Linked DNA regions of Caenorhabditis elegans. The protein of the gene in region 2 interacts with the protein of the main gene of each other region in a biochemical or structural test. Each region holds a gene or a part of one and is shown on either strand. Other genes may lie near its edges.

Region 1 (5,223 bases), on a different chromosome or scaffold from region 2:
TTTTATTTGGCCCCGTACCTTCCATCTTTTTCTCCGAGTTTGATACTTCTTGTGGGTACTTTTTGTACTCTCACTCGTATCATACTTCTTGATAGGTCTTCTCAACTATCAACTTGTTTACAAGTTTGTAATATTTTTAGAATTTTCTGTTCTGTAAATATGTTTACATGTTGTTGGATTTTGATGTTTTAAGTATAAAGGATTTGATTGCATTGTGGAAACTTTTGGCGTTGCATTTTAAAGTTCGACGTCACAAAAAATAATTTTAAAAAGTAAAATAAGAGAAGTTATAATAATCCTTATTTTTCAGCTATTTTTCAATACAATTTAATACACAAAAATGATTTAACAAGCAATATAGGAAAATCCGACCTAACCGGACTTCCATCATTTTCCTTCCCCTAACTCAAAAGTAATTATGCTTAAAATTTTCAATACTTGGGATATGTTTGCCAGTGGAGTTTGATCTTGTACCTTTTACTTTTTTATCGTAACTTCAAACCGAATTCCGGCAAATATTTTCATTTTCAGCATAAACTTTTGTCGTTTTCTTTAATGATAAGTGCGAAAAATTCCTCTGGCACGAGAGTCAGCTCAATGAGTTTTTTTCCTGAAGTGACTCCGGAAATGGGTGCTCACCTGACATGTGGTCACGGATCAACACATGACTAACTTTGGAAATATCTATCCAAACCTTATCCGCTCTGTAATTAGAGTTGGAGCGCGCTAGGCCGCCTCACACACTTCCGAGCGCTGACCGAAATTTGGTTATATTCTGATGTTATTTTTTGTCGGGGAGAGATGCGTTGCACCCCGCTCTGCGTTTATCTGTCCGTGCTCAACATAAAAAAGGTTCTTTTTTTTGAGTAAAAAAGCAACAAATTCCGCCCATGCTTAGATACTGGGCCCATCATGGCGGCGAACGGAAGGACTAGGAAGCGAGGCTTGTTTTGAGTTTCTTTTAGTGATCGAATAGCGGTTGGAAGTAGATACGGATATTGCACATATATATATATATATATATATATATATATATATATATATATGTGTGTGTTTTGAAGTGAAGAGACAGTGAAATAGTGACAAAAAGCTGTTGAGATATCCATTTAGGTTTTTGAATTTTCTATTTTTCAAAATGCGTAACGTTTATGGTTTTTAATGACGTGATGTCTCTCTGAAATAGCGGGCATTTAAAAACAACTCTTCTTCCAAGTGATAGAAAAAGAAATAATTATCAATTTATTTTTCCAAGTGCCTGGAATTTGTGACATTTTCTTTGTAATCGAATACATGCTCAATTGCCGAAATTGTGTAGCGGCAAAAAAATTAATCAAAAAACGAATGTGAATATGAATTTGGTATAGTGCATATCAATTTTTCCGAAAATTTGTGTACTTTTGAATGTATTAATCTTGTTCAGTTTATGCAAATTATTCCTTCTGAAGTTCATTCAAAACTTTTTGGCTCTCTTTTTTCAATTGTACTCTTAATTTTCCCAGTAAAAAAATCATTAAACTTCCTGTGCTATTTTTATTTTTATATTTTCTGATTTTGCAACTCCTTCAATTTCTGAATAATGATTTCTTTAAGGAAGTTTTATCTGCAAGATCTCCCTAATTGGCAATAATTGGTGTTTATCTTAGATTTTTGAGCAAAAGCTTGCAGTATATTTTTGTTAGTTTTTTTGTTCCAAAAAAACACACTCACCCTATTATTTGAGTGTTTTTGTTTTAAAAAGTGAATGAGCAATGTGTTGCCAAATCTTTGTCCCTTTTGTCATTTTTTTCATAGTCATCTCTCATTTCTAATGACGTTTTCCGGTTTTCCGAATCGGAGCCGTTTTTCATTTGAACGCTTGTTTTCCTCATTTTCAACGTTTCAATATTAATAAATTGTTGTTTTTTTTCAGATGTTCAAATAGAATCAGAAACAATAGAACAGAGGAACAGCAAACAAAATGGAGTTTACCGAATGCAAAACTACATTTATTCATCTGCCCGATAAAAGTTTTTTATACGATGTTTTTGTGTAAGTTTTACTTTTGTGTCTCAAAAATCTTTCAAATAATTGCCCAGTACTGTTGTATTTGACGTATTTTCAAAAAGTACAGTTTATCATCATTAAAAGTTATCCTATTATTTGTAGAAATCATCCCTAAAAATAGCGAATAAAACCAAGTTATTGAAGAAGGTTATCTTATCTTAAATTATTGTGTCCTCAAAAGTGATGACCATAAAAAAGAGAGCCATTAATAAATATTTCAAGAGCAAAAGTGGAAAAAAGTGAAATTAAACGTTTTTTTTTCAGAAGTGTATATAATTTCTACCATCCTATACATGCCTACTTATCAATATTTCTATGCGTGTTGGGTACAATCGCTAATTTCTGTAACATCGTCGTACTAACGAGACGAACAATGCGAACGCCAGTTAATATGATTTTGACAGCAATGGCATCTTGTGATACAGTTGTGTTATTTTCAAATTTAATATACACAACACATTACTCATTTGTCGCTTTCAAGTTTTGTCATCCGAAACATTGGTCCTACTCTTGGGCGTTATTTTTAATTGCTCATGCTCATCTTTCATTAGTTGCACATTCTTCAAGTGTTTGGTTGTCAGGTAAGCTTTTCATTCTGAAGACAACTGTCCAACTCTTCGATTTTATTGCAGTTATGCTTGCACTTGTTCGATATGTAACACTTCGAAGTAGGGGAAATATGGGTGGTATGCAAGTGACGTTAAGGCATTCTTATTATGCCGTTGCTGTTACTGTATCCCTTGTAGCAGTGCTTAATGCACCGAATTTTCTGAATTACAAAATCAATGAACAGCCATTGAATGAAACGTGTACCGATTTGGATCCAATGTTCTGGAATTCGCCCGCGTATCTTCCTGGAATTGCAGACATTGCAAAAGCAAACAGCTGTCTGGTAAGATTTTTGAATTTCAGTAAAAAAAAAACAAGATTTTTGTTAAAAAATAATGTTTGACAAATTGTATACAAACAAAATTTCTCGAAAAACTTTTTTATTGGAACTTAGATTTATAAACTAAAAATTTTGGCAAGATCATCATAATATAACTTTGAAGCTTTGGATTTATATAAACCTTTTTGGAAATAATTGATCGATCATATGTACATATGATATCATGAAAATTATACAAAATAATATTTATCATCGTGATCGTCACCCTAGCAAAAACCAATTTCCTAATTTCCTGCAGGTCTTCCGGTTATCTTATTGGATATCCGGTATGGTATTCAAAGTATTACCATGTGCGCTTCTATCGTTGTTTGTTTGGCTCCTTTTACGAATTCTTCGTGAAGTGCGTGAGAATCGTCAACGTCTTCTCAAGAACTCGCAACATCGACCACCGAATCAAACGACTACTCGAAACGGACAAAGACTGAGCATTTCAGTTGCAGGCAACGAGAAATTAGGCAGAAATGGAAGCTTACGGGGGAGAGGAGAACGTGTCGATCGGACAACTCATATGTTATTGGCAATTGTAGCAGTTATGCTAGTGACTGAATTACCTCAAGGAATTATGGCTGTCTTGTCTGGAATGTGTTCTGAAGAATTCCGAATTTACATTTATAACAATCTGGGAGACATTCTCGATTTGTTCTCACTTTGCGGTTCATGTTGTTCATTCATCATTTACTGCTCAATGAGTGGACAGTTCAGAAATGTAAGTTTTGATATTACTTGAAAAAAATTTCAATGAGCGACATCTTTTCAAAATACCTCAATGAAAAATGTGTTGTATGCTGTTAGAAAATACTACAAACTTTCTCAACATTCGGTGGAACTTTCCAAGCGAATTTGTCTTTTTTTTCTTTGTTTTCTTACTAACATGATGTTCGGCAGCGTCTTAAAATGCGCTTAAGATCTCTACATTTTCCGACAATTGCGGAGTTGTTTTTACAAGAAAAATCATGGAAGTACATACTTTGCTCATTTTATGAATGTGTGTTTAGTTCATTTTAACACAGGGAACAAGCATTTTCATTTGATTTCTATAAATAAAAATTGGTTCATTTTCAATATAGAAAAATCATAAAATTTTTAGGAATTCCACCGTGTCTTTGTACCTGCAAAGGTGAGATGTCTCCGAATGTCATCGCCGTCGATTCGTCGTCCATCCGACGCCTACAGTACCACAAAAATGACTTTTCTAAAACCAAACGAGAAAAACGGAAATGGAATGAATGGAAATGGCACTTATTCGGAAGATACAAGGTCAGCAAGTGTTAAAGTAAGAATATCAACACATGTTTTTTCTACAAAACTTTTGAATAAGCCATGTTAATTTTCAGATGGTCGGAATCCAGGTACGAAGAAACAGTACGGAAATAACGAGAATGACTGGATGTGATTCAATTACTCCATGTTCTCCAATGCCAACATCATTTCCATCATCCCCACTTCCACCGATTCGAAGTGGAGAAGATGAATCCACTGATGAGACATCACATCTACTTAACAGCTCAGGACCCAACTCAACAGCCAGTGCTGATGGAATTCGTGGACACTTTCAAAACATTTGATATCAGAATTTTTTAAACACACAAATTGCAACACGTGTCAGAACAAAACCATTAGTATTTACCATATTCACGGGTTTCTATTTCAATTTTCTGATTACGTTGATTTCTTCTTAAGCGTGTCCTATTAATGAATCTTGTTTTTTATTAGTAACATACTTTTTTTTTAAATCTTTAAACTTTTCAGAATTGAAAAAAAAAATAAAGTAATTGTTCAGAAATTAAAATTCTTTCAATTTGCATATTGAGGTTATTGATTTATGTATATGACAACCTTTTATGAATGAAAATTGCAGAATTGGGAATATTGTATCCTCGGAGAACTTCAAACTAGCTCCCATAGTAGGTAGACATAGATTGATTTTCATAAGCATTTTTCTGGTTTAAATGAATTTTTTATCATGCCATCACAAAAATATTGATGGCAAACATGACAGTCGTATGTCACCGTGTAATTAAAACACTTACTTAAAAAGGATAATCTTCCAACTTGTAAAAATGTTTCGGCATAGCAATCTTTTATTTGTCAATGGAAAGTAATAGCTAGAGATCAATTAACCGACAAAGTTACCGGGTGCCGAAATGAAAGAGAAAAAAACAGAAAAGCTGACTATAATGAAAGCATCAAGTGGGGGAGAAAAGTAGAAGAAAACGCACAACCCGTTTCGG
Region 2 (7,722 bases):
TCCACGAAGATGCACTGGTGGCCAGAAGTTTTGCTGCTCGACAATTTCCGGCTGAAACATTCATTTATTTTTATAACTTTTCTCAATTTTTAAAAATCTTACAATAAGTTCATCTGGACTTGCAATATTCTTCTCTTCTTGCTCAGCAATTTCTTCACCAGATGACGGTGGATGAGCTGCTGTGAGTGCAAGCAACGTGGCAAAAAGCAAGGAGAAGATGAATGTTTTAAGGGAAGAGGAGAAGGCGTTCATGTCGCTGTAGTTGTCTGAAAATTGCAGAAATAATGAAGAAGGGGAAGGGGGAGCTTGAAGCGGAAAATTATGCGACGAAAAGGTTGAGCAGGTGCTTTTAAAAGAAACGGAGAACAATTGATAAAGGGGTGGAGTCAGTGTGACGTTGATAATGGTTGGATTAAAAAATTAGAGGACAAGTAATTTATCAATATTAACTTAAACAAAGGGTGAATAAACCGGGATTGCCCAAAGTTTGGCCGCACCCAGCTCAAAATTTTTTAATTTTTGTTTCGCCTGAAAACGAAATTCGAACACTTTTTTTGGTTGCTTTTTTGGCATTTCTGGTTTACCTGTTTAAAAAAAAATTGACGTTCAGTTGGAAAATACCATGAAACAATTGTACTTCAATAATTCTCCAAAAATAGAGGAAATAACATTTCACTGGTGTCTAAAAGTGATAGGTTTCCTAAAAAACAAAAACGCACATCCGTTTTCACAAACTTCAAGCCTTTTATTCAAAAACTCAATCACCAATGTTTCTCAACTGACGCATCTTCAACATTTTGACGTAATTTTTGAAAACTTTGACGTGCTAAATATTTCCTGTGCAAGCTGATTTTTGTTATCTAGACATTTTGGTTCAATTCTCAAAAAAAAACATCTGCAATGAGGCGTGTGGAATAGTTTTCGGAAAAGGTTGGAGATTGAAAATTGATCGGGATTATTCTAAATTATCATTGAGTTGATTAAAAAGTTTTCAATTATTCTCTTATACTGTTCACCCTGGGACTAATTAAAAATACGGTAAATACTATTTATTGGCTAATCGTAATATTTTATTTAAATATCCAATGACACAAAAACGCACGTCAAAGAGAGAAGAAAGAAAATTTAAAAAAACGTATCAATAATGCAAAGAAATATCTCGGAGAACATCAAGACCGGTGCGCCCGATTCCTGGAAGACATTGAGCCCCCACGTAAGAAGTGAAAGACCGAAAGACCTTTTTTATAATAAGTAATGAAACATGAGAACTATTCTGAACATTATACGAGCTGATTGGACACCCGATATGAGCATTTGAGTGGTGAAGTCTCTTGAACTTTCAAATTTTGCATAATTTCTGTTGGAAAAGAAGGAAATGTGGGTGTGGTCTGACGTCAAGGGTTCAAAATTATGCTGGTGGTCCGTTAGAAGTAGTTCTATGAAATTTAAACAAAAATCAATGGTTCTCCAAACAAATTTCTGAAGCTTAAAGGATAGCTGGAAAAAACACCAGAACTAAATCTTTAGAGCCAGCCAAATTTTTCAAACTTGTCAATTTCAGATATTATGCGTTGAATCCATGTTCTGTTATCCGATGGATCAAAAATTATAAGTTTGTAAACAATACGAATTTATAAAAGATCCTTATTAAAACTTCAAACTCACATTAACCTCCTCGGAAGGGATTAATTATAGACTTAAGCTTCTAAAATAACTAATATTTTTTAGTCGAGCTTCTTTTATGTGTCTAAAGAAATTATTACAGACGTTTTGGTTTTCAATGAAATATAATCCTTTGGTTTTTAGTTTGTGTCTATATCTATTGGTCTCTAGGGTTACGGTAGTGACGGGTTAACTTCAATTAGTAAATCACCTATTTACTGTCTCGAACGTGGTCATAAACTTTGTTGAGTGTAGGCAAAAAATGCCTACCTATTCATGTATGTAGATTGTCAATTGATCTCCATAATTGCTGGAATTCAGTGATTTTGATAAGATTTCAGAAGCTGATAGATTTTCAAAATGGAGAATAAAACTTCTAATGAATAAGACAGAGTCAAAAGTTGAACTCACCACTTTGCCAAATTCAAAAGCTGAAACTAATGTTGTAAGAGTGGATTTCTTAGGTATTTATACTTAAACCTTCAGTTCAAAAAACCTTAACTAAATACCAAAGGGGTATTATTACGACACATATCAGACTTTAGTCTAAGATTAGGATTAATATTAATCTATTGCTTACATTTTCATGTTTTAATGAATCAAGGTTTAGGTTACACTGTGAAAAAGAATAATCTTTTAATGGACGAGATGATCTTCGGAAAGTGAATTGACAATGCGATCTTAGGAATAAAATTAGAATTGTGATAAGTTTAGTCTAGTTTCAAAAGCTTGCTGGAAGTGTTTGTCTTAAAACAAGGAAATCTATCACCTAGCCTATTCATAGGCACAAAAATACATATCATCGAAACTATCACAAAATGTCCAAGAGGCACGCAGGTAAGCATTTTGGGGGCCTTTAGAGATCATTTCAAAGTAAAATAACGCGAACAGTATGTGCTTGGATGTTCTTCATTTGAAAGCTTTCTACTGTTTTTCGTTCAGGAAAATTATCGTACTGCGTAGGATTCAGATCTTTGTCATAAACTTCGTTCATTCATAGTTTCTTCCGCATGCCATTTCAAATAAGATCAAAAGTCTATTTTTTGAATAACCTTAACATTTATCTTAAACTCTAATTTTTCTTTTAGGTTCTATTGTTTGCGATAATGGATGTCTCTCAGGATTAAGCATAGTCAAAAATCACATCCGTGTCTTTTTCCGGATTTTCTATCACGAAAACTCATCACATAGGTAACTGTAACAGATGATCAGTCAGGTAGTGTGGCATAATGAAACCTAATAAGTATTTTGAAAATGAATATTCTTTGTACAGCAAAAATACATTTAATTCTAATACCACATTGAAACTCTAAAATTTCAATGAATTATATGACGTCACACGGCGCTGAAAATGTGTCCCAGCAGAGAAAAAAGAAAAAGAACGGAATAATAAGAAATGTGAAGAACAGTTGGAGGTGCTTAAAAATGCATGCAAAAATACTAAGAAATTCACTGGATATTGGTCACAATTTGTAGATTTGTGCGTACAAACTCGTGGTGTAGAATTACTTTATTAGGTGTGATATGAGTTATCAGAATCAGTTTGATTAAAAATTGGATTGGAAAATGTGGAAAAATTGTCATGGTGCGTGGTTTGATCTGAGAATAATTGGAAAATATGATGGATTGAAAAGGAAAATCCTGAGAAAATTTTGAGAAATGCCTTTTTGGAAAAATGACGCAATTGGAATTAATTGAGTAGTTGGGCTACAGTCACGTACTACATTTTGAAGAGTTTTATAAAAAAATATGGTGGTTCTTTGATATATTTTTCCCGGTGTAATGATAGAAATTCCTATCTGGAAGTAAATTTCCAGAGCTCTCTACGTATTCAGATTCCCACGTAAAGATTTTATAATTTTCAAGAACTCTTTTCTGTTTTCTGGATTTGTGGTAAAGCTCTGAGTTTTGTGATCACGATGCTTCAACTGGAATTTTAAATAGTGATAAACAGTTTCTTAATTCTCAGAGTAAGAGAAGTTTCTCCCATAGTTTTAAGGAAAGTATTCCAACTTTTAATTTTCTAAAGAAGGACACTTTTTATTACGTCTGGACTATTGAAGAAGCCAGAAACCACTAAAGTTCAAAAGAGCTCATCAAACAGTCATGGAGTCAGGGAGCAGGAGTGTAAATCAAGTGCGTGAAAGCTTGAAATTCTAAAAAAAAAGAACATTTGAAGACCTCGAAGCTCCTTGAAAACCATTTTACTACGCGACTTCCAAATCGGAATATTAAAATTTGCAAAATATTTATCAGGCATTTCCAGTTTTCGAGCCCTTGATTCACACCCCTGTTGTGTAGCAGCTAGATGTTTGAATGAAGATTTTGAATTAAAAAGAAGGAAATTTTACTGTAGCCCGTAATATAAAGGTACACTTATAAGTCGATCCAAGAAGCATGAAAATCTGAACGAATGATCTTATTCTATGCTCAATTTTTATAGGAGACGTAAATACAATTAGCAAAGAAAGAACTCTCAAAATGTTATTTTGTTGTCTACGTAATTCAACAACAACTTAAATCTTCCATGTTATGCTGAAAATATTCTGCCTGCCTTCAAGGTAACCTACGTTCCTTGGAAATATGTCATGACTACTGCCAAAGTTGTAAAAACATGAATACAAAACATACTCCTGAAGACGTGCGTGCATACGACGATGCTATACAAGAACTATAACAAGAAAGAAAAGTAGTCCTGCATATATACTAAATCTAAAAATGTATTTACAGTTTCTTTTGCCCACACAAATAAGACGCCCACTTAACTTTTCATCTTTTGAACTTGGCTCTCAAGTTTCCATAAAAAGAAGAACATTTTTGCAGGAAGCTGTCTTTCAGTCCTAAAAGCTAACTTCTTGTTTTTCTTAACTTTCGAATATCTGAAGATTCGGTGCCGCAAATTGAATAACAACAACTATTTTTGGATGGACCATAAATAGACGTTCCTCCTAACTCTTCAGGTTACACCTACGTTTTCCGAACATTTTTGAAACCTTAAAGGACAATTTAATAGAAAATCAAAGGAACATGGATAGGTAATAATTCAAAATCCGTGTGTGTTTTTGTCTGATGTTGTCACTTTCGAACAAGCAACAACTAATTCGACAACATCAATCAAAATTCCCGAATCTCGGCAATTTTTCTTCGATTAGCTTTTGAGCGTCCAAGGTTCAATTCAGGAAAAAGAAATATGAGAGCAAATGAGTGAAATTGAAAACAGAACAAGACAAGAAAATGACTAACTAGATAATATGTAACATGATAAGAAGATTATAGATTAACAATGAATAGTCAGAAATTATTCTTGTAAGTCTAGTAAATCGGCTTGCAGATTTCATCGGAACATTTATTAAAAACAATACATGTAAGAAGCCAAAATTGAACACGTGTTTTGAATTCAAGATTTTTTAAATTTATAAAAAACAAGTCTGCGGTTTTTTTTTTGGGCTTAGATTTATGTACTCTATAGCTTTTTCAAGTCATAAAAAGCTTTGAAATGCATTACTGTATTGAATAAATGTTTAGTAAATGTTTTGAAAAACTGGTAAATTTTCAAACAAAAAATTTTTTTAAAGCAATTTCAAATCATGTAGGTTCGATTATTTAGAGGTGCTAATTTGGAAAACAACCTTGTATAACTCTTTGGAGATACCCTAAATTTAGATCCACAATACATATCTAGAAATTTGATACACTAGACACTAGACATACCTCAAGAAAATTATGAACGAAAAAATGTACATTGTCTTATATAAATACTTGTATGAATGACGTTGCAATGGCTAACGTCAAATACTCCAATAAAAACTCTAGAAGTTAATCAACAATATGTGTTTAGTAATAATCGTTTGACGCCCACTTTTCGCTAGTTTTCAAGCAAAACCAATTTCCGATTTCTGAAACGAAAAATGAAAATAACTATGGCAGCTACAAATGGTCACGTAGACTAAACCAAACAACAACAATCTTCAAGAAGTTCCTCGAAAAAATTGAAGATTTTCCAGAAAAAAAAACAGTCAGATACACCACGTTTTCTGGTTATGCTCCATTGTGGCCTCAAGATACTGCTGTTAGACCAAAACTTTTTGTCAAATTTCATGAATTTCAAAGAACATTTTTGCCAGTTTGCTTTTCACGTCAACTAGATCTATTGATGTCAAAGCGAAAAAAAACCTACCAATTTTTTGCGGAAATATTGAGATCCAAATATGAATTTGCGAAGAAAGGCGTGAGCAGGCGGAGCCTAGTGCGCAATCAAATGAATGTGACTGGAATGATGTTGAATAGGGGAAAAAAGGAAACAGAATAAGGAGACAGCACAAAAAAGGAGAATGGAATGGACACTGGAAGTTGGAATATATGTAGAATAAGTAGGAATGGGTTGAGGAAGAAGAGGACAGTTTTATTGAGTTCTTTACGAGCTGGGGAATGAGGAATGATGATGGAATCATTGGAGAAAAAATTGTGGTACGACCAAAAAGCTGAAGACGTGGGTTTTGTCTGACAAGGCATGACGAATCAATGATTAGGTGGAGGGGGACATCGAATTTATGACGGAACTTCGGGAATGAAACGTGCCAAAAGATGGATGGGGGTCCAACTACCCCAATAAGTTTGATCTTTTGGAATACCAAACTAGGAGGTAATGGGGGTTTTCGGCTATTTTTAGATAAAGTTGATTGAAAACTACCGTAGTTCGACTGAAAAATTATCTTGCGTAGATGTTGGCTTTCGAATTTATTTTAGAAAATTTAGGAAAGGTTGAGAACCTTCTAGAAACTCTAGAAACTTTTGGAATATTCGGGGAAAACCGGGAAACTTTGGAAAACGTCTGTATTGTAAAATAAAGACCCGTCGCTGCGGGTTCAAATTCATGCTCTTCAAAAAAATTCAGCGCCCACAGTTCAAATATGTGATTTTAGAATTATTCTGTCAAATTAGAAGGAAGTACAAAAATTTTATATAGAAACTGAAAAAAAACGTCAGAAGACAATATATGCACCAATAGCCTATTGATTTGAAGAGCTGAAAAAGTTTAAATCCCACAAAAAACAATAGCAGGATTTTTTGGGAACCCCGCAAATGATAGAACACTTTTAATATTGGAACAAGTGCTCAAATTTTTTAAAGACAGTTAAATGAATTATTGAAATTATTCATTTTACTTTCCTTTTTTGCAAAAATAAAATCCGAATCCGTAGGTCTCGGGAAATCACTAAAGATAAGTAAGTCTTAACATTTTCCTAATTATGAAAATCAGATCGGTCAACATTTTGCAATTTCGCTAAAACATGCACAAAATAAGAACCAAGAAATCAAGCCTTTTTTTTCGTGTTATTTTCTGCGCTTTTCTTTAATAAACAGAAAATTGCTCCTGATCCAAAAATAATCCAGACAACTCATCCAAACAATCTTCTGCTCGGAGGAGAAGGAAATGCACAATTTGCAACCACTTGTACGTGGGGAAATTGAGGAAATGGTTATGTAGTTCAAAAGTATTTGTGTGGGCTCCGGATTGGGGCATGAAAAATCAAAAAAATTGTTCGTATTGGACTATTTTTCTAATAACTTTGGTAATTTTATAATTTTCCAAAACTCGGCAATTTACCAAAAAAGACCACAGATCTATTCGGAAAAGTTTTGATGCAAAAATTTAACTTTACCAGTTGTCTCCTTTTTTGAATAAATATTAAAGAACATAACATCTCCACAAAATCCAAAAAAATTGAAAAGCATCTACAAAAAAAGAAAAATGCTGCTTAATTTTCTATTAAACCCGCAGGCTTTCAATTACACATTTCAAGATATTTGGGAAGCACTATAAATACTACAAGTAGTGCAAAACAAGACGAAATCGTCATTTTAAATTATTAAATTATTGAAAATCTGAAAGAATGCTGTGCAATTCTAAAAGGGGCTTAGTCAGCGGAAGCTATTTTTTTCAAATTACTTATTCACGTCCGAGTCATCAAACTACTCAATGTGTTCTACCAAGTCTATAGCATATTCAATATCATTTGCCACTATGTTTTCACTATATTTCTATTTTATTTATAGGGA
Region 3 (5,098 bases), on a different chromosome or scaffold from region 2:
GCGCGTCACAATTTTTGATCCTAGCTTCTTTTTGCAAAACTTAAAGCAACAAACCTTATAAGCGAGAAGAAGAACAATGGTTTCAATGCTAAATCTTCCACGGTCCACATAGTCACCAAGGAATAAATAATTCGCAGTCGGCGGCCATCCACCACGATGGAAGAGACGAAGAAGATCCGGGAATTGTCCATGGATGTCACCGCACACCTTTATCGGAGCATTCATTTCAACCATTGATTTCTGTCTTTTAAATACATCCAGTGCCAAATCGAGAAGCTTTAGAACTCGTCCTTCCGTGATCACTTCGGAAAGTAGCTTTTCGTGAGTACTAGCGCTCAGGACATCAATTATTATGTTGTCAACGACGTCGTCTTTCATAATCTAAAACATCAAACCTTTTTAACTTTTGATTCCTGGAAGAGAAAAAGAGAACTCACCTTTCGGAAATCACTTTCAATTGAAAATAATTTTTTTTCCTAGTTTTACTCACATCTACGTGTCTTTTTGTAAACAATTTTTTTTTCACGGCGCCGTGAATAATTTAATAATTTTGTAAACCATATTGATTTATATAAAAACTGAATTAATAAAAAACAAAAAGTACCCGTAACAAGAATAGAATAGAAAATGCGAAAGCTATGAAAATGAGCAAGATATCACAAAAAATCTGCAAAGGGAATTTGTACCGAGATCGAAAAAATTGGAATTTAAAGTTGATGTTCTCTACTGCTGTTCTGATTGTCCGACACGGAAGCTTCATACCGCCAATACTCATTGCGTGCTGGTTCCGGTTCAGTTGCCAGTGGCGTATAGCTTTGTTTTCTGCAAATTAAAGATAATATTTTCCAGACTTCAAAAACAAATTAACTGACCTTCCTAGTCGTAAGCTGTTGTTCAACTGAAGCTGTGAAAGTTCCGTCGGAGAACCACGACGGGTCGTCCACAATCTGAGAGGAAAAATTTTATTTTAGACTACTGTAACAGGAACTGGTTCAATAAGAATGAACTTACCCACAAGCCCACGAAGGAATGATAACTTCCCAAAACGTCTGCCGGTATCTTGAAGACATCACACAATATAAAACAAAATTTACAGAGGAATTGACAAGCGATAGGAGATCAAGAACATCACCAATGTAGAAATAGAGGTATCTGAAATGGAAAATTTAATTTTTCGAAAACTTCTTTAGCGCCCAATTTTAGCTTTAATTGGGCCAACAAAAATTTAGCAACACTTTTGCAAGACTCAGCCTGCACCCAAATTTCCAAAAATTCAAATGACTCAAGAAAAATTGGGTCAAGCTTGGGGCAGTTCGATTTCAGTTTTTCCAGGCCAAATTTCTAGTTAAACATCAAATCTTACCTATGAACGTCTGTAGTAAAAATTGCGCAAAGAATCGAGATGATTCCTTGTGGAAACTCCGTTATTAAAAATACCAATAAAATAACAACAAGCATCAATGTGGTTCTATCTGATGTTCCATTCTTTCTGAAAATTTCCATTTTGTCATAAAAGTTCTTTGAGAGTTGACTATACTTTTTCAATGGTTTTGAATCTGTTGATGCATTTGACGGAACACTCGTTAGTTTCCTCCGATGCTTTTCTGCGTCTCTAATCTTTGATACAAGGCCGAAAGACAAGAAAATTAGCAGAATACATGGAATGATCTGAAAACTGGTAGGACGTTTAATTTGATAACTCGCGTACTCGCTAACCTTGAACAGAATTCCAATCATCCAAATATTCCATTTAAACAACCGGCAATTGTTGATAGTCGCCGCGTGGCTGACCATAAAAGTGTACACCGGTTCAGAGTAGTTCGATGCAAATTTTTGACACGTTTTGCCAGGTCGCCAGTCATTTCCTTCTACACGGGCGATTTCGTGGACCAGCATATTTGGAATACAAAGTACAAATACGACCATATAGATTCCCAGGCACAACTTCCATGCGAACTTTGGTCGTTGCCATTGACTGAAAATTTCCAGATTTTTTAAGGGGGCCAACGTTTCTGGGTATATTGCTTGCAATGTCTTTGTAAAATTTCAATTTTAAATATTTTTGGATACCTACCATTGTTTGAAAAAAATTTTGAAAACTTTCATTACAAAACTTGTTCATCTTAGTGTATAAAAAAATGTTAGTCCCTTAAACTTTGCTCCCAGCATACCTATTCAAAGCGGTAACCCTTAATGTCATCCTCCGAATGAACGCCATCGCCACAGCGAGCCATAAAGAAGTTGTGTGTAGTGTGATGCTCAAAACAACATGCCACAATAGGAATTGTAACCAAGAATGAGTGAACGTTGGAGTGCTGTAATAAAATCTAATAATAAAAATTATTGAGTTTCATTGCAAACGCTTGTTTTCGTGTTTTTCAGTATCATTTTACGAGCGACTTTTCATCTTGAATTCACTTTTGTTATTTATGAATACACGTAGTTTGTAGCTTTGTGACGATTTTCAAAATTTCCTATGATCAATAAAATATGCAGTTGTTTTCATGTTTTGATGCACATAAAACGGATAGGAGGAAATAAATAGTTCCAGGTTCAACTAAAATTCTATGCCTCTTCAATTAAGTGCAGCAAGTGACGAACATGGGCATTCAACTTTTGAAATTCCATTATTACTTTGAGGATGTTTTTTTGTGTGTGTGTGTTGATACTTGAGTGGAAAAATAGAAGAATATAAATATCCTTCAAAATTTTCAATAGAAAGAGCACACTTAGTTTGAATTCTTGTTATTAATGGTTTGAGGTAGAGTTTGGAAAATAAGGATTTTGTTTCAAAGTATTCGAAATATTCAAATATATGCTGCATAATCAAAAAAAAAGGAAACTTAAAAAATCGAGAAAGATTTAAAAATGTCCAATTTTTGAAATTGCGAATTTTCATATTTGAATTTTTCCAAAATGAGAAGCCATGACTATTTTTAAACCAATCAGCGCCTTCGAACTCTACATCCTTTTTATGAAGTGACCGACATTTTCCGGGTTTTGCAATTCACCATAAAATTGGAATAGGAAAAACCAGAAAATAAATATTTTAAAGCTTGTGTTATTTTTCCAAAAATTCCATATTTGTTGATGTTCCTACTCAAAAGCCGCCACGCCGCTCCATTTCCCAAAACAAAAACATTTCCACCCAATAAACACACAAGAATTACCAGGAATTATTTCGTCGTAAGACAAAATGTATAATATAAATGAGATAGGATGCCATTGTTCCGATATCACAGACAGCCACTGCTGTCAGTATGCAGTTGACGGCCGAATTGCGCATGTTGGGTCTCGATAAAACTGCCACATGCACAAAATTGGTGAAGATACCAAAAACGCAGATGAGCACACATACATATCCGTGAATTGGCTGGTACCATCTGACAATTAATCATTGGTTCATTTTTCTTTTTTTGAAAGAAGTGCACAAAAAATAGTTTAACAAACCTTTGAAAATGTGCAAGTTTCCGAAGAAATGCCTGCGTACTGTTACTGTTCGGATCAAACAACTGAGCATCGTGCGGACATTCCATATCTAGCACATCCTTCAAAATGTTGAAAATTTAAGGGGTTTTTAAAGACCATTGAAACAAAGAAACATAAGGAGAAAATCAGAAGAAGCCAAGAGCAACAGGGTGGAATGCGTTCTGTGTTTTTTGAACTTTTAGATGACAGTCGGTTGTTGTGGAAGAAGCTGATCGAGTTTTCGAACAAAATATATAATTTCGTTTTTCAAAAAATTTACAAAATTATAGGTCACTGGCCGGAAGTTATTTTTGTTCCGTGAGTTGTTATTTCTATAGCAGGAAAATACTTTGAAAAATTGTAAAAATCTTTGATTGAAGATTTTTATTTTTTAAAAACTATTTCCTAGAGTAAAAAAAACCAAAAAACCTATTTTTTTGCCGGCCAGGGCGGTAGATTTGTTTGTTTTCGAAAACAAAGTGAGCGAAAAATTGCAAAAAACGCGTAAATTCTTTTGTAAATTTTGCATGTTTAAAAAAAAATGACACTCGAAACCGTAAAAGAGAGCCATATTTATCAAAATATTTATTATTTGGGTTTAAAACATTTTAAAATAATTTTTTTCGATTTCAGCAGATCTTGAAAATGCACAAAATAATTGGTAGGCATGTAGGCATGCCTGCCAACTTATCTTGGCAAGACTAGTCTTTTAAAACATAGTAAGCATATTTTTCAGCAGTTTTATAATTGCGATGATTATAATTGTGAAGCACACTCGTTCGTGAATGTTTAATCTTTCGCTCAACTTTCTGTTTCTTGTGAACATGTAACCTAGATCTAGGGCTTCTAGGTAGGCGCCAAACGACTGCCTACCTGCCGGACTTCAAAGTTAGGTCCACCTGCTTTTCATCAAATTAATCGAAATTCAAATTTATTGCTTTCAAATTTTATGCGCCTGCCTACCATGTTAGTCCTACCTAGAACAGAAACTTATTAGTTAAGTATAAAAGTTTTAAACTTTGGTATTTCATGCCACCATAAAACATATAAAATCAGGGGGCCATCTTGTGAAAATGTTTGTTGTGTGGTGCTGCTTCACACACACCGAAACATTTGAAACAGAATGGATTTCGAGACAGAAATGTGGCATTCAAAGTTAATGAATTCATCTTCCAGAGAAGATGAATCGGAAAATCGAATATTCTCACGACTTATGAATAAGGAAAACGTGGAAAAAAAAAGTTTAGGGGCGCAGGCGCAGTCAAAAGGGGAAGAAAGAAAGCTCAAGTCCCTTGGGAATTGAAGTGATGTGCCTATTGACTATTGACCACTGAACATTTCATCTTTGTTTCAAGAAATCAAAAGAGTGACCTAGCTAATTCTCTAACACCTTAAAATGCAGAGAGCCTAATTGGGGGAGAAATGAGAAAAATGCAGGAAAAAAGCTGAAAAGGGGCAAAAACTGGAGGAAGGAGAGGCGCTACCAATGGTGGATTGCGCACGTAACGTGTTCATTGTCTTTTTTACTCGAAACAAAATGGCGAAGCTTCTCCTCAAATTCAATTTGCAGTTCAAGCAGCTTCTAGTGCTTGAAAAGCAGTGACGAGACTGCATTATTTTCAAAGTGACG

What was found. The genes of interacting proteins can lie anywhere in the genome.
Region 1: the proteins of flp-4 (region 2) and dmsr-1 interact in a test that uses a peptide from one of them, tested with the Caenorhabditis elegans proteins (one large-scale study listed by BioGRID).
Region 3: the proteins of flp-4 (region 2) and dmsr-7 interact in a test that uses a peptide from one of them, tested with the Caenorhabditis elegans proteins (one large-scale study listed by BioGRID).

The regions. Positions count from the first base shown.
Region 1 is NC_003283.11:11,436,861-11,442,083, forward strand, and holds dmsr-1 (G-protein coupled receptor dmsr-1), read left to right. Parts: upstream 1-1,909; 5' UTR 1,910-1,957; coding exon 1,958-2,028; intron 2,029-2,307; coding exon 2,308-2,624; intron 2,625-2,675; coding exon 2,676-2,935; intron 2,936-3,230; coding exon 3,231-3,698; intron 3,699-4,079; coding exon 4,080-4,265; intron 4,266-4,326; coding exon 4,327-4,557; 3' UTR 4,558-4,704; downstream 4,705-5,223. UniProt on the Caenorhabditis elegans protein: G-protein coupled receptor.
Region 2 is NC_003280.10:10,047,169-10,054,890, reverse strand, and holds the start of flp-4 (FMRF-Like Peptide), read right to left. Parts: upstream 6,024-7,722; 5' UTR 5,840-6,023; intron 267-5,839; 5' UTR 253-266; coding exon 103-252; intron 52-102; coding exon 1-51.
Region 3 is NC_003283.11:5,403,808-5,408,905, reverse strand, and holds dmsr-7 (G-protein coupled receptors family 1 profile domain-containing protein), read right to left. Parts: upstream 3,554-5,098; 5' UTR 3,537-3,553; coding exon 3,451-3,536; intron 3,384-3,450; coding exon 3,171-3,383; intron 2,316-3,170; coding exon 2,172-2,315; intron 1,976-2,171; coding exon 1,717-1,975; intron 1,669-1,716; coding exon 1,538-1,668; intron 1,490-1,537; coding exon 1,364-1,489; intron 1,153-1,363; coding exon 1,012-1,152; intron 948-1,011; coding exon 873-947; intron 823-872; coding exon 708-822; 3' UTR 520-707; downstream 1-519. Other genes in the region: C25A6.1 (Serine/threonine-protein phosphatase), read right to left, coding at 55-378.